4 linked regions of the Callithrix jacchus genome follow. The protein of the gene in region 3 interacts with the protein of the main gene of each other region in a biochemical or structural test. Links are inferred from orthologs where the notes say so. Each region holds a gene or a part of one and is shown on either strand. Other genes may lie near its edges. The genes, in order: BMP7, ERBIN, ACVR2A and BMP2.

Region 1 (5,783 bases), on a different chromosome or scaffold from region 3:
TTTGGGAGGCCAAGGCGGGAGGATAGCTTGAGCCCAAGAGTTTGAGACCAGCCTAGGCAATACAGGGAGACCCTGTCTCTACAAAAAATAGCCAGGTGTGGTGGCCGTGCATCTATAGTCCCAGCTACCTGGGAGGCTCAGGTGGGAGGACAGCTTGAGCCCAGGAGGTCAAGGCTGCAGTAAGCCATGTTCACACCACTGTACTCCAGCCTGGGCAACAGAGTGAGACCCTGTCTCCAAATTAAAAAAAAAAGGAAAAGAAAGTCACTTTGCCGACAAAGATGTATTCTTTCCTATCACTGCTTTGACAAATTACCACACACTGTGGCTCAAAACAAGACAACCGGATTATAGCTCTGTGGCTCTGAAGTCCAACACGTCTCAGCAGGTAAGTGCGAGTATAGGCAGGACAGGCTCCTTCTGGGGCTCTAGGGCAGGATCCCATCTTTGCCTTGTGCAGCTTCCCAGGGCTGGCAGCCCCGCTCATCTCTACCTCCCTGTCCTCTGTGCTCACATGGGTCCGACCACAGCTCGCAAAGGCTCTCTCCTGTAGGGACTGATGGGACCGCCTGCTACACAGAGCCCACATATTGGAAGGTCAGCTGATTAGCACCTGTGATTCCGTGGGCAGCCTTAACTCCCCTTTGCCTTGGAGGGTGACATATTCACAGGTTCCAGGAATTAAGACACTGGCATCTTGGAGAGGCTGTTGCCCTGCTCATTGCAACTGGCTTCCCGAGGAGCCAGAGAAATGGCACCTCTGGGCAGCACCTTCCCTGTCCAGTGGGATGGGATTGGGGATGGGAGCAAACTTGGCTCCTTGGATCTGGGGGGTGTCACTCATCCAGCCCACTGGAAAATGGTTTGTTGTCAGGTTCATTGACTCGACACTTTGGTTTTAGTCTGGGAGGAGTCCAGTTGCATCTTCTGGCAGACCTGGCACTGCATGTGCAGGGGGTATAAGCTGGGCAAGGTGTGTGGGAGGGCTGTCCACACACGCCCACAGTGCCAGCAGGGCTGTTCCAGGTCAGCCCACCCGCAAAGCCCAGAACCAGAACACACCTTCTTGAGATTCCAGCAGCCCCAGGTCACAAGAAGCTGTCAATATCAGTTCCCCAATCAGCTTATGCGGAACAGGATTCATCACAGCCACAGCCCCAGTGCCTGGGACAAAGCCAGGCCCATGTGGGGGCTCCACAAACGCCTGGAGAATTGTCAGAAAGCACTTGATGGAGTTGCTGAGGACACCAAAGCTCATCCTGGCCAGGCAGATGGCCCCAGCAAAGCCCAACAGGGAAGAGTACCTGGGGCAAGGGTTCATCCAGACCCCAGGGACCCAATCCCAGGGCTGCCACTTACCTACACTGTGTCCTTAGACAAACGACGTACCCTCTTGGAGCCTCAGTTTTCCCCTCTGTGAAGTGGGAGGTCATCTACCCCAGAACCTCAAGAACCACACAACCTGACGGGCTGAAAGAGGTCTGCTCTAGAGGGGCTGAAGTCTCCTTTGTACAGTGCGTTCGCTTTACTTATGTTTACTGTTAAGACTTGAATTGCTTGCAACGAAAATGTTATCTTTAATTTTTTAAAAAAACATATAGTAGAGAAACATTTCAAACGAATTGAAAAGTATCCCAAATCATATATATTTTTTAAAACCTACCACCTGCCCAGGAGCAGTGCCTCATGCCTGTAATCCCAGCATTTTTGGGAGGCCGAGGCAGGTGGATCACTTGAGGTCAGGAGTTCGAGACCAGCCTGGCCAATATGGTGAAACCCCCTTCTCAACTAAAAATACAAAAATTAGCTGGATGCAGTGGTGCGCACCTGTAGTCCCAGCTACTCAGGAGGTTGAGACTGGAGAATTGCTTGAACCTAGGAAGCAGATGTTTCAGTGAGCTGAGATCGCGTCACTGCACTCCAGCCTGGGTGACAGAGCGAGACTCTGTCTCAAAAACAAAATCAAAACAAACACCTACCATCTATATTTATCAAGTATTAAAATTTGCCATGAATTTAAAACATTTTCACTTTATGAAATAAAGATACAGCAAACTCTTCCACTTCCCCATTTCTTCCTCTCCCTCCTTCAGAGTCTTCCTTCATCTCTGTGTAGCTGTAAGTTCAGCCATTATTCTGTCTATTTAAATATCTACATGCTTGGTGCTGCGTTAAATGTTTTGCTACTAGCATTTCTAAGCTAATTTATGACTTTTACAGAATTAAGATGCTCTGTGTAGGGAGGGACTTGGGGGTTTTCCTCCTGCTATTTGTTCCACAGCCATCTGCTGAGCAGCTGAATGGATTTTGAGTTGCTCCCCTGCCTGGTCCCGCTGGGGCCCTTCAGGGTTCCTGGGGGGTGGGGTGGGGCATCTGTGATCCCTCCCACCTGGGTGTACCTGCCACGTTGGTCATCCGCAGGGCTTCCTGGTTCTTGGGCGTCTTGGATCGGTTCTGGCTGCGCTGTTTGCTCCCTGTGGACCGGATGCTGCGGAAGTGGACCTCTGTGGCCTTGAAGAAAGCCACCATGAAGGGCTGCTTGTTCTGCGGCCCATGCCGCCCGATCAGGCCGGCCAACTTGGGGTTGATGCTCTGCCCTGGACAGGAAGCAGCCAAGTACACGGAAGAATGGTTACGGGGAGAGCGGTTACAGGGAGAGCGGTTACAGGGGAGAGTGGTCACGGGAGGGCGGAGAGCAGGACGGGGCTGCCAAGACACCGTGCCTCCGGTTCATTCGTGAACTCCTTATTCCTCCATCCTGCCAGTATTTATTGAGTACTCACTCTAGGCCATGTGCTGTTTAAGAAACTTGGACCACAACTGCAAACACAGCCAAGAAAACGTCCTGTTCTCTGGGTTTCCATGCTAGTGGGGAAGGCAGGGAGGGGAATATTAGGGGTGGGGAGCCAGGATGATGCCTGCGGAAGGTGGCAAGTTAGTGAACCCCGTAAGTGTCACTCGCATTTCATTGGCCAGAGCAGGTCATGGTATCTGCCTAACTTCAGGGAGTTGGGGGGCAATCTTGCTCTGTGCCAGGGAAGGTGGAGCAGCTGCAAGCAGCTCTAATGACTACGGGGGCCACCTGAGCAGAGATTTGGGTAACAGTGAGCGAGGGGGCCCATTGGATGTCTGGGAAGAGTGTATTTCAGGCAGAGGGAACTGCAGAGGTGAATGCCCAGAGGCAGGAGAGGGGAGGGTGTGCTCAAGGAGCAGGGGCGGGTAGCAGGAACAACTGGGAGGGGCAGGAGGGGCGTGGGTCAGGTCAGGTCCTGTGAGCAACACGAGCACCACCTCAGCCCACTGTCCCACGTTGCTGCTGTCCCCTAAAATTCATACCCACACAGAACCTCAGGATGTGAACTCATTTAGAAGCAGGGTCTTTGCAGATGTGCTGTTGTCAGTTAAGCTCATACTAGATTAAAATGAGCCTTAATCTGCTGACTCATAAGAAGGCCACATAAAGAAACAGACGCAGACAGCCCTAGGAAGACAGAGGCTGTGAAATGCCAAAGATTGCCAGGAGCCCCTGAAGCTGGAAGAGGCAAGGAGCGACTCCTCCCTAGAGCCTTTGTAAGGGGACAGCCCTGTGGGCCTCGACTTTGGACCACTCGCCTCCAGACTGTAAGAGAATAAAGCGTTGTGTTTCAGGCCACCCAGTGGGTGGAACTTCACATCCAGGGCCCTGGTCAGGACACTGAGGCACTCTGCAAGAAGTGAGAACCATGAGGGTGGGACTTACAGTGGTTTTTATAAGGCCACTCAGCCTATCCCTGGAGAGCCGACTGCAGGAGTCAACCTGAAAGGGAGACAACAGCATTGTCCAGATGGGAGATGGCGTGAGACTGGACCCAGGATGGTGGGGAGGGAGGCTGTTGAGAAATGGCTAGATCCTCAAGAGTTCACTTTTAAAATCCATCTTTAGAATTTATTTTGGTTTTAACTTTTTGTTGTGAAAAGATTATAGATTCACAGTTCATTGAAAGACGATGTACAGGGAGGTCCCAAGTGCCCTTCATCCAGTTTTCCCCAAAGGTGACATTTCAAATAACCAGCACACAACCTCCAAACTAGGAAAGGGGAGATTTGGGACTGAATTTTGGGAGGGATTATAAAAGGTGTGAGAAAAAGGGGACTCTTATGAGACTGGCATGCTTTTGGCCCAAGGCCCCAGAAGAAGGGAGGGGCTGTCTACCAACGTAGGGAAACAGAGGCAATGGAGCATAAGCTGAGAAATAGAGGGTGGAAGACAAAATGCAGTTTGCTTTAGTAGATATTGTCTGAAATCCCTACTTGACACCAAAAGGAAGCTGTCAGGTGGGCTGCAGAGATCTGGCCTAGGCTTGATCAATGGATCAACTGGAAAAGAAGAGCTCTGGGCTAGTGAGGGAGGGAGTGGGGCCCGGGCCAGACATCCTGGGTTCAAAACCCTGCCTCTGTCACTTAATGCTCAGCTAGGGCTCAGGGCAGAGCTTTGCATACCCTAAATGCTCAATAAATGCTGGCTCGGGGCAGTGGTCTAGATAGTGATGTAAGCTTGGGCGTCCCCAGCTTGGAGATGGGGTTTAAAGCCAGGACTGGATGAGCTTGCCAGGCGAAAACATGCAGCCAGACGAGCGGTGTGAAGCCTGAGCCTAGGTGGCCTCTGTCTTCCACTGAGGGTCAGAGGAATGCCACGGAGACTGTGCAGGAGTACCCAGTAAGGAAGGATCCAGAAGAAGCCTGGGCAGGAGAAATGGAGACACCAACAGAGTATGGGGTCTCGGAAACCAGGGGAGGAAAGTAGAGGAAGCGAACTCTGCATCCTGTGCTCTGCAGATGGACCTAAGGACACGCCATCTATCCATTAGCATTGACAACGATGAGGTCATTGGCAAATATATATGTAATGCCATGTCTGGGGTGATGAGTATTTCAAAGCCAAAAAGAAAAAGCATCCAGTGGAAACAAAGGCCGTTTTACTCACGACAGCACCAGCTCAGAAAGGCCGAATAACTGCTCAGGGATAAGTAGCTTGGAAGCAACAAAGCAGAATCTGAACCCAGATGAGGATGCCTGAGAGTCAGGAGGCCAAGCCTCTGCAGATACGGTGACCCCAGGTTAGGTGGGGGGGTTGGAGGCCAGCAAAAGCGACGGGCCCATTCGCATCTGGAATTAACCTCACCTGGAGCCCCCCAGACGGGCCAGAAGTCAAGAAATCCAGCCTCCCAGGACCAGACTGGCACCAGGGTTCACTTTGGTTTTTTAACAACTAATATTTAAAAGAACAAATGTCCCCCCACCCACCACTGTTTTACCTTAACCCCCTTTAACGTTCAGCTTTCCTGCATTCTTGAGCGGGGTTTCCCTGAGTTCACCCATCTATAATTTGAATGGTTCTATAAAAGAAACCATTAAAACGGAGCCCCTAGGAACTGTGTTTCCCTCCTGGAAGGCTTTTAGGGCAAAATAAAAATGCCTGGCCTGAAAACCTGATGCTGTTCCAGATGCCTCAAATTCATAAGCTGTAAAAAATCTCTCCCCGCCTCTGAGCGAAGGTGTCTGGCTGGCTCTGGGCAGCTGTCAGGACAGCCACATCCAGGGAGCCACAGCCCCAGCTGAGAAATGGCAGGACACAGGGGCAAGAAGGGGGTCTGAAGGGTGTTTAAACTCACGTCAACCGCTAACCAGCCTGTGAGGGCTGAGAGAGGCAAGTCATAAGCTGGGGCCTCAATTTCCTCATCTGTAAAATGGGGATAATGCCATTAGACCCATCTGTCCCTCCTTTTCTTGGTAGACAACTGGAT
Region 2 (5,783 bases), on a different chromosome or scaffold from region 3:
ATGGCCCACATTTCCCCATGTCTGGCTGAGCCAAGTCTCTGATGTAAATGGTATGCAGTATTAGCTCGCACATTGTTATGATTAGAGAAATTCATATTGGCAGAATGTTTAACATAACTTTGATTTTCTGTACTCTCTGATCTAGGAAGGCGCTGAGACGCAAAACTGGCATGATCTATCTGGGGATTTTGTTTGGAGTGCCACAAAGTGTCTTTGACTGCAGCACTGCTACTATATTGGATATTATACTGTGGAGGACCATATAATTGAGGTGTAGATTGTGGGCCAATTGTGGGGCCTCTTATTGTATTTGGCTCTTCGGGATTATGATTTGAATCAAACTTGAAAATTGCTTTTGTTCCTGATATTAAATCAGAAGATGACGAAGAACCGATAAATACCTGCAATGGCTGATCACACAACAATGTGGCAGACTTGCTCCTGACTATATTTTTTCCATCGACAGCAGATGTCATTTTAACTGCTGTATTTGGCTGCTGAGGTCCATTATCACTATGAATGTCATAGATTTTTAGCTCTCCAATTTCCATATTAGTTATGCTATGAGATTTCACAACAGATCCAGCTGGACCACTTTTCTGAGGGGAGAGATCTTCAGTGCTTTTGGAAATACCTAAGTCAACAGAACAATCAGTGTCATGTGGTTCAGTTCTATTAGGAGACTGTGACGTTTCCTCAGAGTGTCCATTTACCTTATTTACGGATTCTAGATTAGGATACCTATTTCCATTTTCCAAGTGCTGAGTTTCCTCTTTAGAATTAATGCTTAAAAAGTCTGTTCCAAGCGTGATATCCTGTGTTTTTGATCTTTCCATGATATCTGGTTGAAATGTATCATTAGTTATAAGCTTATTAAGATTCATATTGATGTGATCTAATTTGTGAGTGTCATCAGCTGTGGGTGTTGAATCAACACTTTTCTCAATTAGAACTAATTGCTCTTCAATATTCAAATCATATTCAGGTAAGTTAAAATCTTTTTTATCATGAACTTTGAACTTTTCCTCTGTTGAATTGTTTAAAATATCTCCATTTTGTAAAAGGCTGTTAAAATTTTCATCTTCTTGCCTAAAATAAAGATAATTTTATGAAAAACATAATAAAGCCAAGTTTTCTTAGTAACAGGGAATATTAATAAATAGTTAAACTGTATAGGTAGACAAGTTGATAAAAGGCATTTATTATCATATAATTACAAAATATTAGCTTAATAGTTAATATAGCTTTATATTCAGTTGGAGACAAATAATACAATTAAAATTCATAGACAATACCCAAATTAATTTTCATCAATACACTCAGTCTGTCTCAAAATAATTTAAAGGACTTAACTATGAACAAAAGTGGAATTATTAATCTTTGCTACATCTTTTCATGAATGTGCAAAAAACGAAATGCCTGATGGAGGGCAGATATATGAATAGAAAACTAGTAACATGAATAGAGGAGTCATGAGCATAGGACAATTTTACAGTTAATTTTGAAGCTTTACATTATTAACCAAATTAACCATAGTTAACTATAGTTATCACATTCAAATATATAGGTAAGAAAATTGTACAAATCAAAGAAATGAATAATTGTCCAAAGTTTTACATAAAATATGTAAAAGGCATAAAAGATAAATGAAGTCTAATCACTCTTCTAAGTAGCTAGCTGTATTTCGCAAATACTTTTAAATATGTCATTCCAAAATTACAGAAAATACTTTATTTTTACCTGGTGGTATTGAACATATTTGTGTCCTCTTGTATACATATTCAAGTTACGTTTCCACAAAAATTCCCTAATACTGGTTTTCCCATTACAAAAAAGATAACTTTCATTACTAGAAATACAGCACAAAAAGGTGTTGCTGTACTTCTTGCTTAGGCTCTATTATATTAAAAGCAGAATTTAGAAAATACCATACCACTTTCCCAACAATAAATAAATAGAATTTTATTATTCAACAAATTAATATTATAACATCTAGGAGGTTATAAAAATTAGTATTTTAAACAGGAGCTCATAGCCTCAAATTCAGAGAATAGAAAAAAAATGACTGTGATTATAACTATACAACATCTTAACTCATTTTCAGGCATAAAATTCATCTCCCTTTTCCAAAAACACACATTAATAAACAAATTTTACTTAAATATGTCTGAAATTTAAGAACAACTATAAATAATTGTTAAAATTTTCCATACACCAAACTTTTGGTTTAGTAGTAACGCCAGTCTTTCTTTTTTTGAGACAGGATCTCATTCTGTCACCCAGGCTGGAGTGCAGTGGCCTGATCATGGCTTGCTGCAGCCTAAACATCCCGGGCCCAAATTATCCTCCCACCTCAGCTTCCTGAGTAGCTGGGACTACAGGCACATGCCAACATACCTGGTTAATTTTTTTATACATTCATAGTTTCACCATTTGCTTAAGCTGGTCTTGAAGTCCTGAACTCAAGCAGTCTACCCACCTTAGCCTCCCAAAGTGCTAGGATTACACGTGTTCCACCACATCAAGCCAACCCCAATTTTTTTTTTTTTTTTGAAACAAGGTCTAATTCTATCACCCAGGCTGGAGTGTGGTGGTATGATCAGGGCTCACGACAACTTCCACATCCCACCTCAGCCTCCCAGGTAACTGGTTCTACAGGCATGTGCCACAACATGTGGCTAAGTTTTGTATTTTTTTTGGTAGAGACGGGGTTTCACCATGTTGCCCAGGCTGGTCTAAAACTCCTGGGCTCAAGCCATCCTCCTGTTTCAGCCTCCCGAAGTGCTGGGATTACAGGTTTGAGCCACTGCGTCCAGCCCAGCCAACTCCCATCTTTCTAACAAGCAGAGTTTAGCTGATAGGATAACATGATGGTAGAATGGCAGGGCCTTACTCTGATAACCAAATTTCTTCTTTTCTTTTTTTCTTTCAAACCCATAGCCAACATTACACACAACCAACTTTCTCAAGGGCCTAAACAATAAAACATGTTTTAGACATCAGCTAAATTCCAGGCTACACAAATTAACATTTCTCTCTCTCTCAGTGAGTGTGTCCTACAAAATGAAGCCTAAGTCAAATACACAACACCAGTCAAGAGTATTTGAACTTTCTTTTTTTTGTTGTTGTTTTTTTTGTTTTGTTTTGTTTTGAGATGGAGTTTCGCTCTTATTACCCAGGCTAGAGTGCAATGGCGTGATCTTGGCTCCCCACAACCTCTGCCTCCTGGTTTTAAGCAACTCTCCTGCCTCAGCCTCCTGAGTAGCTGGGACTACAGGCATGCACCACCATGCCCAGCTAATTTTAGTATTTTTAGTAAAGACAGGGTTTCACCATGTTGACCAGGATGGTCTCAATCTCTTGACCTCGTGATCCACCCGCCTCGGCCTCCCAAAGTGCTGGGATTATAGGCGTGAGCCACCACGCCTGGCTGAGTATTTGAACCTTCTAAGGTACAGCCCTCCAAAATGATTCTGCATTTCTAACTATAAAAATGCTCCTTTCAACTTAAATTACCTCAACTATGCTGTTTATGTTGCCATACCTAAAAATTATATAAATATTCAACTTTTTAATCAAGAGACTGAGAATCTAGTCTATCCCATTTAAAAATCTAATTTAGAATGAAAATATATAAAAAGTAAATAGAAAATCAGCAATAAAAATGGGGAAAGAAAACATATTACTCGAACCACTTCTATAAAATTTATTTATGAAATCCTTTATGTTTATGTATTTGTTACCTGCCTTACCACTTCTACTTACTGTACAAATGAAAAATCATAAAAGATGCTCACATACCTGATTTTGGAATTCATATCAATATGAGTTTGTTTCACCGGAGAGCAGAGTGAGGTGTCTTGACTACTATCAGTATTAAGAGAAACTGAATCAGACATCCGAGATGGAGAAGAACAATTGCTATTATTCTGATTGCTATTGTGTGTAACTTCATCGGATAAGGAATCTATTTCCTTTGTATCATCTGAAACAAAACAAATTTAAGATCAATGATAAATTAGCCAAGAATTTTGTGAAATGCTTTTCAGTGATGACAAATGGCAATTATACTGTCCTGATTCTATACGAGGTAATAAATTATATTGATGATAATCAGAGGCACCCTGAAAAGTCAGTCCTACTACAAAGATTAAAGAATTTTTAAATGGTGATATCATTTTTTAAAAGTAACCAATGTTGGAGTTATTAAGAATTCAATTTAGTTACTGACAAGGTGATATTATGTACTGTTTTCTACAGTCAATTTCAGTAAGTATACTTTTCACCCATTTACAATTTTAAAAACTGATAATAAAAACATAGATTATAACCTTTGTAAACTTGTCTGGGCAAGAAATTATTTTATACATAAGGAATTTTTTGCCATCTACTCTGATAATAAGCCGTCAATCCACAAACACACAATCACCAATCAAGAAATTTTCAAAGGTCAGCTCTTTCATTTCTTAATGTTTTAAAAACATTTCATAGACTTGTTATGAATGGTAAACTCTCAATATGTGAGGTGGTTGTGTGTATAGCAATTATATGAACAGAAACAGATAAGTGTTCATATTCTTTAATAGACAGGTAGTATAAAAAGTAGTATTTTTCTCAAAGTAGTGCCAAAAATGTTTTTAACTAACTCAATTCTAGCCAAATCATGGAAACAGTGTATACAGACATATCCATAAAAGATTATATGAATTAAAAATATCTTTGATGTTCTGAGATTTTAGGAGCACAGATAAAGTAGTTTGGATTGTATTTACAGTTAACAGTAGCAAATGGGACTCTGTAACTTTGATCTCAAGGTATTCAGGTTTTGGGTTCTTAACTTTTAAAATATCATTAAAATAGATGGTTAAGTTCTTTCTTAGATACACTCCTTTTCCTCTTCCTTATCATGGGGGCTACTGTGACAATTAGATAATAACACGTAAAATATTCAGCATAGTACCGAAGCAATTAGTGCTCAACCAATTCTAGGTATCATTACTACAAGTATTATGAACCCGAGCTATCTAATGACCACCTTGATAACAAGCATCACTGATGTCATAAAGACAAAAGGCTAAACATTTGAGGAAGATGATGTAAAGATACTCAGGTGCTGGAGGGGAGGGGTGAGGGAATGGACAGATATCCTTCAAGATCCATTTTATCTCTAAGAGTCTGAGATTCTCTTAAATGAAAAATCGCTGTCAGAGGTTGGATAGAGTGTAAAAAAAAAAGTTTTGCGACAGAATGAAAATAATGAGCACCTACATCAGGTACTGTGCTGAAAAATATATTATCTAGCCCATTTGATGCAAACTTCTTCATTAGCTTCATTGTATGTCAAATCAGGACATGGATAAAATTGAGTAATTCAAGGATCACACAGCAGGTAAGTGGCAGAAATGAAGTTACAATCTAGGCTTATCTGTCTGTGAAGTCCATGCCTTTGTAAGTAAATATGCATGAGGGAAAAGAAAAGACTATCAAAGCCTTTCTCTAAAAATATGAGGGAAGGAAACAACCTTTCAGAAAGCCATCTCTAAAAATTTGTTTCTAAAATGTTTCAAATAACATAATATTAAATAAAATTTATTCCAAAAACTTATAAATTTATTCAGGCATTTTCTCTTCTTAGTACTTTCCTTCAACATCTAACCTTTTTTGTTATTACTAAGTGCTACGACTTTTGGCTGGTTAATAGAGGTTTCAATTAATGGTGGTCGCATCTCTGCCATTTTCATCTCTTCATCAGAAGAAAGTTCTTCAGATTCCTAGTCAAAAGG
Region 3 (6,305 bases):
AACAAAGTGTTAACATCCATCACTTGTTAGCCAAAGTTCAAAAGATTATCTGTACTGCCAGCTCTCCCTCCAACCACACATACATTCACACATACACAGTATTGCCTAGCTAAACTGAAGAAAATGTAACATGATTACCATATTTCCATTTCCTATTTCATCAAATAGATTGACCATACTGCTGCAGCTCCCACAAAATCCAAAGGAATTCTCAACTTACTTCAATGCAACTCAAATACCACAATAGCTGCATCACTCTAAATGGGATAAACCTAAGTACTAAGGCAAGTACTAAAGTCATTCTCATACTTTAACAAACTGTGGGGAAAGATACAAATTAACCACAATGCTATAAAAAGAAAACTAAGATTTATGTTTTGAAACAGAATCTAAGGAGGTATGAGAGGAATGAAAAAATTCAAAATCAAAGAGAATCTGAAGGCACTCAAGGATGAGGGCAAAATTTAAAATGCTTCCCCTGGAATGAGAAAGAGGAAGAAATTATACACTTGGCCATATCCTACAGGAATAGTCTGCATAATCAGTCTCCAGAATACATATCATGGGATAGAATTTGAAAAATTAGAGTCCACGAAATAGTAAACATTCCTCCTAAACACCTGGAACAAAACTGTTCTTACTATTGTTTCCCATTTTGATTAAAAAATGAAATAAAATATCTAGAAATGAAAATAGACAAACTGAGAACTTTTTAAATTCTCATAAAAATAGTTACCTCATGTTTCCAATATGCCAGATTACACATTTTGTAGAAAAATCAATTAGTTGGAGAAACACAATAATCCTTTTTTAGAGTGCATCTGATCCATAACAAAAGCCTTTTAAAAATCAGACATTTTAAGTACTCAAATTCTTCATGTATAAATATGGATTAGGGTCTTTAAGATTTCAATTATCTTCAACAGAACCACAAATTTTTGTTCAACTGGGAATGTTCATCTTAAAAAGCCTATGCAACAACACAATATTAATTTAATATAAGTGGACTATCTATATGCCCTATAGCAACAAAATTACTTTATTTCAAAACTATAGCTGTTAACCTCCTGGCCCACTGAAAACAATCCTGGCCCAATGGAAATAATCCCACAAGAAACTAATGCTCAGTTATTTTTACTACCAAACCAAGCAGAGGAAGCTGTAAGATCTGTAGCAACAGCCTGCTTTTCCAGAAGTAATACCTTGAGACTGCTCAAGAATAACCTCCTTCACCAATTAGTGTGACTCAGGTGGGTTTGGAGGGAATAATGTCCACAATTCCTTGGTCAGTGGCCATGATGCCCCTCCTCCTCAAGGGCAAGAGATCACAACAAGGGATTTGAACAAGAGGAGTTCACCAGCCACAACATATAGAAGCAGGAAAAAAAAAAGAGTACTACTGGAAAGATAAAAACTACATGGTTAAATCATGTCACAAGAGCAAGAGGTTTAATGTTATCAAGGCCTTCATTCATTTCAGACACACCATTGTTTAGCTTCCTCCCCAAACCATGCACAAAAAGAACTGTCAGCCTGCCTTAAGCATGTTCCTTCTTCCATTTAAACAGACATGATTCTTTTGGTTAATCTCTGGCAATGATCGCCATTTCACAACACATTCAGCCCACCCGGAACTGATCAATACCACTACAGACATAAGACTAGACTTTATCCATTTATTAACCACAAGGAAATGTACCATTCAGCAAAATTCTATACATTACAAAAGATTCTATTTAAAGGGGGTTGGGGAAGATGGACACAAACACACATACACACACACACACCCCATAGAGGTACACAAAGAAGACTACCACCCTTTAATTTTCCTATGGCAAACGAGATAAAGACATGGCCATGAAACCTGTCAATTTGCCCCCCCCACCCGTCCCCAGTAATTCTATGCCACAAGCTGGTAACTGAATATTAAATTTTACGATAAATAGATCCAATGAGACTTTTAAAATGTTTCATCTATTGAACTAAGTCTCCTGTTGTGTACATCTGCACACCTCTGAGCTAATGATGTATACATTTATAGAATTTCAAATACAAAAGACTAGATAGTTTTTCCAACCACTGGTTGCAACCACAGAACGTTCTCACAAAATCGAAATTTCCAATATGAAATGGCCAGATTATTCCCCCAACCTTTAGCTAAAACCTATTTTATGAGTCTATTATATTCAACAGAAACAATTTCACATGGGTTGTTCTAAACCGAAAACAACGCTTCAATACAAAGCGTTTAAAATAAGTATTCCGTAGGTAAGCAAAATCTATGCCCCCAAAGAGCACACAAATGGTGGTTGAACACCAGCACATTACCAACCCCAAGCGGCATACCTCTTCTGCAGTGGGTTATAGTTAATACTCCAACAACAACTACAACTATTTTTAACACTGCTGGACACTGAAGTTGAAGAAAACGTGAGGGGAGACCCAGATTAATCTACTGAAAGGATGTACTGCTTCTCACAGCCAAAATTAAGCAGCAACTGACTTGATCTATGTCGTGATATTCACGGGTGAAGCACCAATTAAAAGATGACAAAAAGCAACCCTGGTTTTAGGGGAGCCCACACTAAATACTCCTTTCGGGTCTCAACCTTTGCATAAATTGCCACTTGTGGTATTTGCGGCTTAATTGCAACCCAACCAGCCTTGTCATCTAGTGTTATGGCCACAAAACATGACTTTCTCACTTCCACAACAACACAGCACTCACTCTTATCACGCCAACCCAACTCAAAAGGAGAAAAATGCATGGAGGTTCCCAGATCACAATCAGACCTGGGGGGTGGCAGCCGAGGGGCGCGGGGTGTGGGCAACCTCCCCAGGCTCCACTGGACTCTCCGACCCGACACCAGCCGCGGCCCCCAGCAGCGGCCGCCGCGGCCGCAGGAGCAGCCCCGCCGCGCCGCGCTCCCTGCACCTACCTGAAGAACAGGAGATAAGAAAGACGGCAAACGCCAACTTTGCAGCAGCTCCCATTTTCCCGAGACGCCGGGGAATCCGGAGGAAGTTCTCGCTAGATATCCAGTTCCCTGGGTCTTCCTCGGAGACAAACCTCCTGGTGTAAAATCAACCGTCATAAAACATATTCGGGAGCCCAGACCAAAAAAAAAAAAAAAAACGTTCACTGGGTTTAAAAAACAAAAAAAGAAAAAAGAGCACAACAATAAAAAATAAAATGCACCACGGGGGAAAAACCGCCACACACACGCACAACACACAAAACCAAACAACGAAAAGCCAACAACAACAAAAGCGGGTTTAAATCACTGTCAAAATCACTGTCAGCTCCGCTCGCCTCTCCGGTCTCTCGAAACAAAACGCCAGGCTGAGGCGACGAGGAGGCGGCGGCGGCGGCGGCGTCCGCTGCCGCCCGGACAGTCTGGGAACCGACTGGGTCCGACGTCCGGACCGACCTTCAACCCGGACACCTAATGTCTCAGGACCATTGGCGGCCAAGCTCGCGGCGGTGGCGGTCAAGGCGGCTGCGGTGCGGGGAAGGGGCGGCGGGCGGCAGCGGCGGCAGCGGCGGTGCAGGCGGCGGCCAAGTTCTGGTCCAGGCTCTGGCTCCGGCTCCGGCTCCGGGCTCCGGACTCGGCCGCGTTTTCGGTCTCCTGGCCTCCGCCGGGCTCCGCCCCCCACACTTCCGGTTCCGGCCCGAAGCTGGAAGCCCCGCGCAGCGGAGGAACGCTCGGCGGCAGCGGCGGCGGCGGCGGCTGCAGCGGCGGCCCGGCGCAGCGCGCGTGCCGGGCCGGGAGCGCGAGGAGATTGTCGGGGAAGCGAGGCGGGAGCGGGGGAGGGGTGAGAGAGCGAGGGCGGGGCCGAGTGGAGGGAGAGGAGGCGGGGCGGACGGAGGCTTGATACCGCGAGGCCTCGGCGTCCGGCCTGCTTGGGCGAGAGATCCCGCGACAAAGGGGCGCGGGCGCCTCAAAGTCTCTGAGCTGTGCTTGGGCTGTGGCCGGGCGCGCCCCGTTTGCAAATCGCGTTCCCACTGACGTCTCTGGAGCGCCCACGCGAAGGGTCAGGGGAAGCCCAAAAGCAACAGGACCCCGAGGTGGGGCGAGTGGCCGGTGCTTCTCCGAGGGGCGTCTGTGGCGCCCAGTCTTTCCTCTGGCGGGGACGCGTCGTCCTCTCGGAGACCGAGGAATCGGTGGAAGCCGGCCGTGGGAGCTATTTTCGCCGCGCCCGCCGAGCTGCCCAGGCGAGCTCGCAATCCGCGAGCTGGTGTCTGAGCCCCCAGATTTAGCTGTGCATCCCACCGCTGCGGTTTTTGCACACGCGTGCTCTCTTGGTGACTAGAAGAGCAAAAAAAACACGGAGGAAGGGCTGTCCACCCGGTCAGGGTATTCACGCCATTTATCACGATGCCCAACTTGAATTCATTCCCACCGTTCCTTTTACACACAAAGAATTGTGTTGACAACTGTTTTGTACGTAATAGGGGCACAAATACTTGTTTACTGCGCTTTGAAGAAAAAAACTGGGAATTTCGATCGACATATTTAATGATCAGACAAGTGTTTACATGTTCAAATTTTAAGCTCTTTTAGGGCCTGCTTTTACTCCTTAATCCATGTTGACTGCTTACAAGCTGGTGTGCTAGGCACGGAATGGGATCCAACAGGTAAAAATAGGATGGATCCCTACCTCAAGTAGCTTTTAGTATTTGCTGTATTCAGTTGGCTGCAGAATGCAAACTAAAGACCATTGAAAGTACTTGCTCTGTCATTTACCACACTTTAGTGAGCTTCGGGAAGAAAGATCTTGATTTTTTTTTTTTCCTTATTTTATTCCAGCACCCAGAAGTACCAACTGGCACATGATAAGTGCTTAATAAATAATTGTATAAATGACTAAAGGATAACTGCCTTTCCCTTAAGTACAGTCTCCTTTAATGTACTCTACAAAGTTTTTTTTAATAATAATAATAATAAAGCAACTGTACTATATAGCTGATTTATGTTTTACTTGTGGTTTACTGATTCCCACCTTTTCCCACAAAATCAAGTCTTCTCACTTATATTTATAGCAGTTGACTTCCTCTAAATTACTCCGTATTTCTATTAAGTTCATCCTGTAATTATCTGCCCATTTCTACAACTTGTCAGGGTTATTAATAATCATTGTGGCTTTTTAAACTCTCTCCAAGATTTCCAGTTCTCAAGTCGTGGTGCTCAGAATTTCACTGATATTTGCAACAGTTAAAATCCCAAGTCGGTATTAAAGGTGTCTGATTTCATGTAGTTCTCCCACCTTTGTGAGTTGGCAAAGGAATATGTATAAACCTTCCATTCTCTGGTTGAACTAAGAGTTTCACTAATGGTTCTGGAATGGAAGAGTATATTTTACTCTAGAAACACTTGAAGTTCATTAAAGAATGTGTTGTCAGGGTCAGGCCCCACTATTGTCTTATCTATCCATCATTTCAATATTTCTTTAATTGTGAAACCAGAGCAAGTGGAATAACTGGAATAGTGAGTAATGCAACTGAAACTTGAAAATATATTCTTTATCTTACCAACTGAATTTGCCAGTATAAGAATAAGAGCATGAAAATCATCTTTCTGTAGTATTAAAGACACGCAACCAGTCTTCACTAGAACATTCCTTTCTAACAAAGACAAAAAATAATAGTAATAACCCCAGGGGAGAAGTATTAACAACCAGTAACAGTAGCTAGCTATTCTGTTCCTAAATGTGTTTACTTTGCCCCCTCAGTTTTTTAAAAAATTCAAAAATAATGTAACCTAAAATGACAGGGAGTTTTGATTAATTCCCACTGGAGCTTCAAAACTTAAAAAGAGGTAGCTAGGGCTAACCCCATTGTCCTTCTTTTCTCCTTATTTTCTAGAATCACTTTTTTAAATCCACAAATCCAGCCACTTCCTAACACCTTGCAAAGTGTACAACCTGGTTTGGGAAGGAAAATGAGAGAGGAAAGGAAAAGGAAGCATGAATTCTAAACGACCAGAGCATCGGACATTATGAGATAAATATCTTTAGCATCGTCATTCACTTCCCAACCCCAAGACCTAGCCCTGTGGCCACTCCAATACTAGAACTTTAAGTTCAGAGTCTTGCCACGTTCAGTTGAACTGAAAATTATTCCCAGATGGAAGAATCTTGAGAAGCCAGTTCAATCTAGAATGTTGGCTGGATGAGGAGGTAGAGGTAAATAAGTGAGACAAACTGCTTCCAGAATAAAAGATTTCTTTTTGTATTACAAATTCACAGCTCAAAAGATGTGAAGAAGTTTAAATCTTCAGTTAAGTAGAGCTGGAAATGAACCA
Region 4 (6,344 bases), on a different chromosome or scaffold from region 3:
CGCACCGTTTCTTGAGAAACTGGCAAGAAGTGACTGAAACGGAATAGTAACGACCTCCTTAGTGTGGAATCATTATCTGGTCATCTTTGCTTTTATACATAACTTGTCTGTACCCTCTGAGGCATTTGAGTTTGCAACCTCTATCCCTTTCTTAACAACTCCCCACTCCCACCTTGGCCCCTCTCCACATTTGCTGGCAGATACACCAAATCTGATAACTCAGGAAGAATGAATGTCACCCTCTCAACTGAAAAACTTTGAATGAACCTTTGAAAAAGGTAGAATCAACAACGGTTAGCAGCAAGTGATATTTTCATGGCAAACAGACACTCTCCCAACGTATTAAATAACCCAGCAATCTAAATTGCAGGTGGAAGGTAGCCATTAGTGAAGAGAAAAAAAAAATAGTTCGTCTCTAGTTAGATTTATCATTTCTGCCTATCGCTCTTCCCTGGAAAATGGGTAGATACAGTCAGCCTGTACTTCGCATCCCAAATACAATCTTTGGAGATTATTTATTTATTTATGAACTTCTTTCTTTCAAGCGTTCGAATTCATTTTCACCACAAGAGGGCAGCCATCTCTTAAAAAAAAAAAAAAAAAAAATGAAGCCTTGGTTTTGAGAGAAATAGGGCCAAAATTTAGGTAAGTTGTGCTTGGGACAGGCATTCAGTAGTTCCTCAGAAGTCACACACCCTACATAAAAGAGGTTCTGCAATGGGCAACACCACCATGAAACAGTGCTCGGAATTACCCATTTTCCCTTAGATTCTAAACTGACAAGGTTTCCACTTACCAAGTTACGAAGTTCTAAAGCTGCAAGACATCCTTGATGTCATCACAGGACATTTATTTTTTACTTTTTCTCCGGGGACATTCAATAGTTATCAACTTTTCCTCCTCTTTAAAAGCTACCTATTGATTGAAGTCTCATAGAGGTTTGGTTTGGTTTTTGAAATCTAAGTAATGACAGAAACAACAGTTAACTTCTCAATTAAACTTGATAGGAAAAAAAGTAGTTTCAGAAGCCCAATAAATACTTTTTAAACTGTGTCTATATGTAGAATATGTTTTATTGGCTACTTGTTTGCTGTCCAGTGACTTAGAGTGACAGTCAATTTCTATAGCACCTTCCCCGTCCCCCCCAATCCCCCCCCGGGCGCAAGAAATAAAGTAGCATGTTCCTGAATAACTCCCCCCACCTCTCTTTTATTTTCCTGGTAGGCAGGCTTCCTCCAAAATACCTTATTTGACCTTTATACCTTTAGAAACAGCAAGTGCCTAATTCGCCTCTGTGGGTTGCTAATCCGATTTACGTGAGCGGAACCTAGAATTATTTTAGTTCCCCCACCGAAAAAATAATACACATGGATAATAGTTTTATTACCAGCTCCCGATTCTGACTTTTTTCTCTGTGTTTTGCAAGCCCAATAGCTCTGGGAAAGCAGAACCTGGCCTTTACCAAAAATTTCTGCCCTTGGTTTTGGGGATCATTTGGGCAACCCCGAGGTGCTGTGCAAGGGGGCTCCTGGAATCCTGGGAAGGGTAGAAACCCTTAGCCCCAGACTCACGGTGCAGCAGCTCTGAGAATATTTCAGCTGAGGAGTGAGTTGAGTGAATATTCAGCTGAGGAGTGATTTGGCCACGTGTCACAGCTCTACTTCTTGGGGGCCTGGTGGAAGAGAGTGGAGTAGAAGGTCCTAAGGTCCCAGACTGGAATTGTCCTGTATGCTTGGTTCACGCTATGCATTGTTTTACCTTCCTCTGAGCTGCTAATCGCCTGCCTCTGAGGCGCAAAGATACAAGGATATATTTATATAAACATACATTTACATGTACATGGATATGAAAATAAATGCATACACATATTTATGTAAATGGAAATTTGTACACATGCATTTACATATGTAAATACATACATCTCTATGTATTAATGTTTAAAAGTACTCAATTTCCAGCCTCCTGTTTCTTTTAATTTTCCTCCTGTTCCAGGGAAACAGAAGTGTGGATCCCACGTCTATGCTATGCCAAAATGCGCTGCAATTGAGGTGTCCTGTTTTACTTTTTGAAATCGTGTATTACCGAAAAACTTCAAACTGAAAGTTGAATAACGGGCCCAGAGGGGAAATAGAGGCCAGACCCTGACCCTGCGTTTGTCCTGGATTTCGCCTTCAGAGTCCCCCGAGGGTCCGGCGCGCCAGCTGATCTCTCCTTTGAGGGCAGGGGGTGGAGGCGCGAGCGCCCGCCTAGGCGGCCGCACGCCCCCGCCCTCTGCCCCACCCCGCCGCGGCTGCCCGGGCGCGCCGTCCACACCCCTGCGCGCAGCTCCCGCCCGCTCGGGGATCCCCGGCCCGCGCCGCCGAGGGGGAGGTGTTCGGCGGAGGCCGGGAGGGAGCCTGCTGGCGGCGTCCCCTTTAAAAGCCGCGAGCGCCGCGCCACAGCGCCGCCGCCGCCGTCGCCGCCGGAGTCCTCGCCCTGCCGCGCTGCGCCCGGCTCGCACTGCGCTAGTCGCTCCGCTTCCCACACCCCGCTGGGGACTGGCAGCCGCCGCTGCACGTCGACCGCCACAGCGTCCGCCAGCGACCCTAACGCTCTCGGGGCCAGCGCCGCGCAGATCACCCGGGGGGCGCGAGGCACCCGCGAGTCGCAGACCCCGCGCGGGCTTGAGCACCCGGCCGAGCGCGCCACAGCGCCGTGGCCTCGGCTGCCCGGGCTGCGCCAGAGCCGCGGACGGGCGCTCAGGGCGCCGGGGACTCTGGAGCCGAACCCGAGCGCCGCGATGCGGAGCACCTCCTGCCGGAGATCGGGGGCCTGGGACGCGCCGGCCGAGGTGTGATCGGACCCCAGGCTAGCCACAAAGGGCTCTTGGCCCCCAGGGCTGGGAGAACGAGGGGAGAGCACAGTCACCCACCTCGGCGGCCCGGGACTCGGCTAGACTCGCCGAAGAATGAGCCCGAGGACGACGGGGCGCCTGAGCCTCGGTGCTTTCGACTGGCGAGCGCGAATGGGGGTGCATTGGAGTAAGGCAGAGTGATGCTGGGGGGCAACTCGCCTGGCACCGAGATCGCCGCCGTGCCCTTCCCCGGACCCGGCGTCGCCCAGGATGGCTGCTCCGAGCCATGGGCCGCAGCGGAGCTAGCGCGGAGCGCCCGACCCTCGCCCCCGGAGTCCCGGAGCCGGCCCGCGCGGGGCCACGCGTCCCACGGGCGCTGGTTCCTAAGGAGGACGACTGCACCAGCTTCTCCTTTCTAGCTTTCCTTCCCTTCCCTGCCCCGCACTCCTCCCCCTGCTCGCTGTTGTTGTGTGTCAGCACTTGGCTGGGGAGTTCTTGAACTTGCAGGGAGAATAACTTGCGCTCCCCACTTTGCGCCGGTGCCTTTGCCCCAGCGGATCCTGCCTCGCCACCGCCACCTCCGAGCCCCACCGCCCCTCCACTCCTCCGCCTTGCCGGACCCTGGGACGCTGTTCCCAGCGTGAAAAGAGAGACTGCGCGGCCGGCATCCGGGAGAAGGAGGAGGCAAAGAAAAGGAACGGACATTCGGTCCTTGCGCCAGCTCCTTCGACCAGAGTTTTTCCATGTGGACGCTCTTTCAATGGACGTGTCCCCGCGTGCTTCTTAGACGGACTGCGGTCTCCTAAAGGTAGAGGACGCTAGCCAGGGGCCGGGGTGGGGGTGGGTGGGAGGGGGATCTGGGCAGTCACTGCGGCAGAGCCCTTCCTTATGTCCAGGCCAGAAGTAAACAGACCCCTCTCCAGGTCCACGTGCACCGGAGCCCTGTGGGGGTGCCCCCTTCAAGCTGCCCCGGGAGACCATCAGCCTCACCCTCCCAGCCCGCACTCTTCCACCCCTCTTCTTTCCCCTCTCCCCCGAATACTTGTGAAGCTGTTAACACTTAAATGAATTTTTTTTAAGAGTCAAGGGTCAAGGAAATCCCTTTGAGAGGGTAGCCCCTGGCTTTCACCCGTTAGCTGAGAACCTGTCCACCCTGCCGTGGTGATCTCCCTTCTTCAAGTGTGGCTGAGAGACTTGGTTTCTTTACACAGAGCCATGTCCCATTTAGGAAAGTACTAGGAGTTGGGATTCTCCCTACTCGTTTCCAGAAATGCGAGCAGTCGGTACTGAAGGATCGCTTGGTACTGTGTTTTTAACAGCTGACACGTGCATTAATAGATATTCGCCATTTACGTAATCCCAGGAAGATACATGTGTGTCTTACCTGTACTATGGGGATGCGGGATTGAGTGGCCTCTCCAGACACCCCTGAGGGTAGGGACCTGGGCCACAAGTTTTAAGTGGCTTTGGAAGTTGTGGCCTTGAGCTTACAGGGTCTGGAAGTTATAGGCTGTGTGTGTGTGTGTGTGTGTGAGTGTGTGTGTGTGTGTGTGTGTGTGTATGAGGAAGTTCTATACAGCGCCTCTAAGGAAATCACATGCACCATTTGCATGTGTTTATATGCCAGAGAGCGCTGAGCACTATGCATTTGGGTTTGTATAGGGGACGCAGGGTGTCAGACCAAGCGGTGGTTCTCCCAGGTTCCCTGCACTGACTGTCAGCGCTGTGTCACAACAAAAAGGTGACCATCATTGCAGCTGGTTTGGTTGGGAGGGGAGGGCAAACCCCAGATCTGATGTCAGACGAGTTAAGAGTTGGATGGGAGCGAGAACTCATCTGGTCCTGGAACTTGGGACCTTTCATTATCCCAAACATTTGAGCCTTGGTCGGTCTTACGTACACTCGCGAGTGTGCCAAGCCAGGAGGGCACCCTGGAGGAGTCAAGTTTGCCAAACGGGAGCCGGGGCCGCGGGGGCGCGAGGGGGGAGGACTGGGCGGGGAACTCGGGGTGACTCACGTCGGTCCTGTCTGCAGGTCGACCATGGTGGCCGGGACCCGCTGTCTTCTAGCGTTGCTGCTTCCCCAGGTCCTCCTGGGCGGCGCGGCCGGCCTCGTTCCGGAGCTGGGCCGCAGGAAGTTCGCGGCGTCGTCGTCGGGCCGCCCCTCGTCCCAGCCCTCCGACGAGGTCCTGAGCGAGTTCGAATTGCGGCTGCTCAGCATGTTCGGCCTGAAGCAGAGACCCACCCCCAGCAGGGACGCCGTGGTGCCCCCCTACATGCTAGAGCTGTATCGCAGGCACTCGGGTCAGCCGGGCGCACCCGCCCCAGACCACCGGCTGGAGAGGGCAGCCAGCCGAGCCAACACTGTGCGAAGCTTCCACCATGAAGGTGAGGCGCGGAGCAGGGCGTGGGGGCGGGGAGTTACCCTGCGAAGCCCTCCACCCAGGGCAGACTGCAGCCATCCCTGCAGAGGCAGCTTGGCCAGGGCACCGGGGAACGTTTCCACTCTGGCTTCTGTACCATCGTTTCTGAACCTGATTTTAACTCATTGTAACTCATCGCTTGTGTGGTGGGGGAGCCAGGGATTCCCCTTGAGTAACTCCGCCACCCTCTTCCCTGGCTTGCGGCCAGAAGAGTTCCTCCTCCCAGGAACTGGAGAGAAATCAAGTGATGGGGAAGATGAGGGCAAAAGGCATGCCCCTAGTCAGCTAAACGTGCAAGAATTCCACAGAGAGAAAAGGAGAAAAAGGGAGGCAGATTGACATTTCTTTAAGTCTGTTTGGAAGCTTTTGCTCTATAAATCTGCTGCTTAAGCCAGGGTTTCAGGCTAGACAGAGCCAAGGACAGAGTTTGCAGAGATAGTATTGAAAAATCAAAGCCCAAAGTCTTTCTAATTTATAGTTGATCTGGGCCTGGTTTGGAAGATTTTGAATCCCGATCTAATCCCCGTGGGAGATCAATTCTACAATCAATCTTATTGTTTCCACAATGGCTTTCTTGTCCTGTGCTTAAATCTGAGATAGGCCCTGAGTAGAGACAAGGCAAGCCTTCAGATAAAAGCATTTGTAGCAGCTGCCTGTTTTTTTTTTAATGTGCACTGAAATGTGGATTTTTTTTTTCTTTTATGATACTACATGTGGTTTTTCTAAGGTGGGATATATCTGCTTGTTTCATCAGAAGGGCATTTTGTCGAGTGGGAATGTCTTACAGCGGCTATTGAGAGCCTCTGTACCTAAGTTCTTAGAGCAATTAGTCAAAAATATGTTCCACTCCAATTCTTTTTCTACACTTTTAGATGCTTCTTTGGCTTAATACATTTAAAATAGAGCATGGGTTTCTTCAAATCCCAGAAAAGAGTACAAAGTTGTACATCACAGAGCAATGAAGGATATTTGGGGAGTTGGGAGTGAAGCTCTCTTTCTTGCCTTTCCCTGCTTAGGTGGTAAGTTTCAGGTGGGAAATCTACACCGATAATAGACTAATCAGAAATGGCACAGCCAGATGTTTTCTCC

What was found.
Region 1: the proteins of ACVR2A (region 3) and BMP7 are reported together in a solved structure, tested with the Homo sapiens proteins (2 studies listed by BioGRID, with this or other methods). The link is inferred for Callithrix jacchus from reciprocal best matches to the Homo sapiens genes ACVR2A and BMP7.
Region 2: the proteins of ACVR2A (region 3) and ERBIN interact in a test that uses a peptide from one of them, tested with the Homo sapiens proteins (2 studies listed by BioGRID and IntAct). The link is inferred for Callithrix jacchus from reciprocal best matches to the Homo sapiens genes ACVR2A and ERBIN.
Region 4: the proteins of ACVR2A (region 3) and BMP2 form a complex in vitro, tested with the Homo sapiens proteins (3 studies listed by BioGRID and IntAct, with this or other methods). The link is inferred for Callithrix jacchus from reciprocal best matches to the Homo sapiens genes ACVR2A and BMP2.

What each region holds. Positions count from the first base shown.
Region 1 is NC_133506.1:52,768,196-52,773,978, forward strand, and holds part of BMP7 (bone morphogenetic protein 7), read right to left. Parts: intron 2,598-5,783; coding exon 2,400-2,597; intron 1-2,399. UniProt on the Homo sapiens protein: Growth factor of the TGF-beta superfamily that plays important role in various biological processes, including embryogenesis, hematopoiesis, neurogenesis and skeletal morphogenesis.
Region 2 is NC_133503.1:143,450,909-143,456,691, forward strand, and holds part of ERBIN (erbin), read right to left. Parts: intron 5,772-5,783; coding exon 5,657-5,771; intron 3,986-5,656; coding exon 3,802-3,985; intron 1,090-3,801; coding exon 1-1,089. UniProt on the Homo sapiens protein: Acts as an adapter for the receptor ERBB2, in epithelia. By binding the unphosphorylated 'Tyr-1248' of receptor ERBB2, it may contribute to stabilize this unphosphorylated state.
Region 3 is NC_133507.1:82,530,557-82,536,861, forward strand, and holds the start of ACVR2A (activin receptor type-2A), read right to left. Parts: upstream 3,658-6,305; 5' UTR 3,432-3,657; intron 3,107-3,431; exon of another isoform or gene 3,074-3,106; 5' UTR 2,995-3,073; coding exon 2,940-2,994; intron 1-2,939. UniProt on the Homo sapiens protein: On ligand binding, forms a receptor complex consisting of two type II and two type I transmembrane serine/threonine kinases.
Region 4 is NC_133506.1:14,044,367-14,050,710, forward strand, and holds the start of BMP2 (bone morphogenetic protein 2), read left to right. Parts: upstream 1-2,442; 5' UTR 2,443-3,641; intron 3,642-4,867; 5' UTR 4,868-4,874; coding exon 4,875-5,220; intron 5,221-6,344. UniProt on the Homo sapiens protein: Growth factor of the TGF-beta superfamily that plays essential roles in many developmental processes, including cardiogenesis, neurogenesis, and osteogenesis. Induces cartilage and bone formation.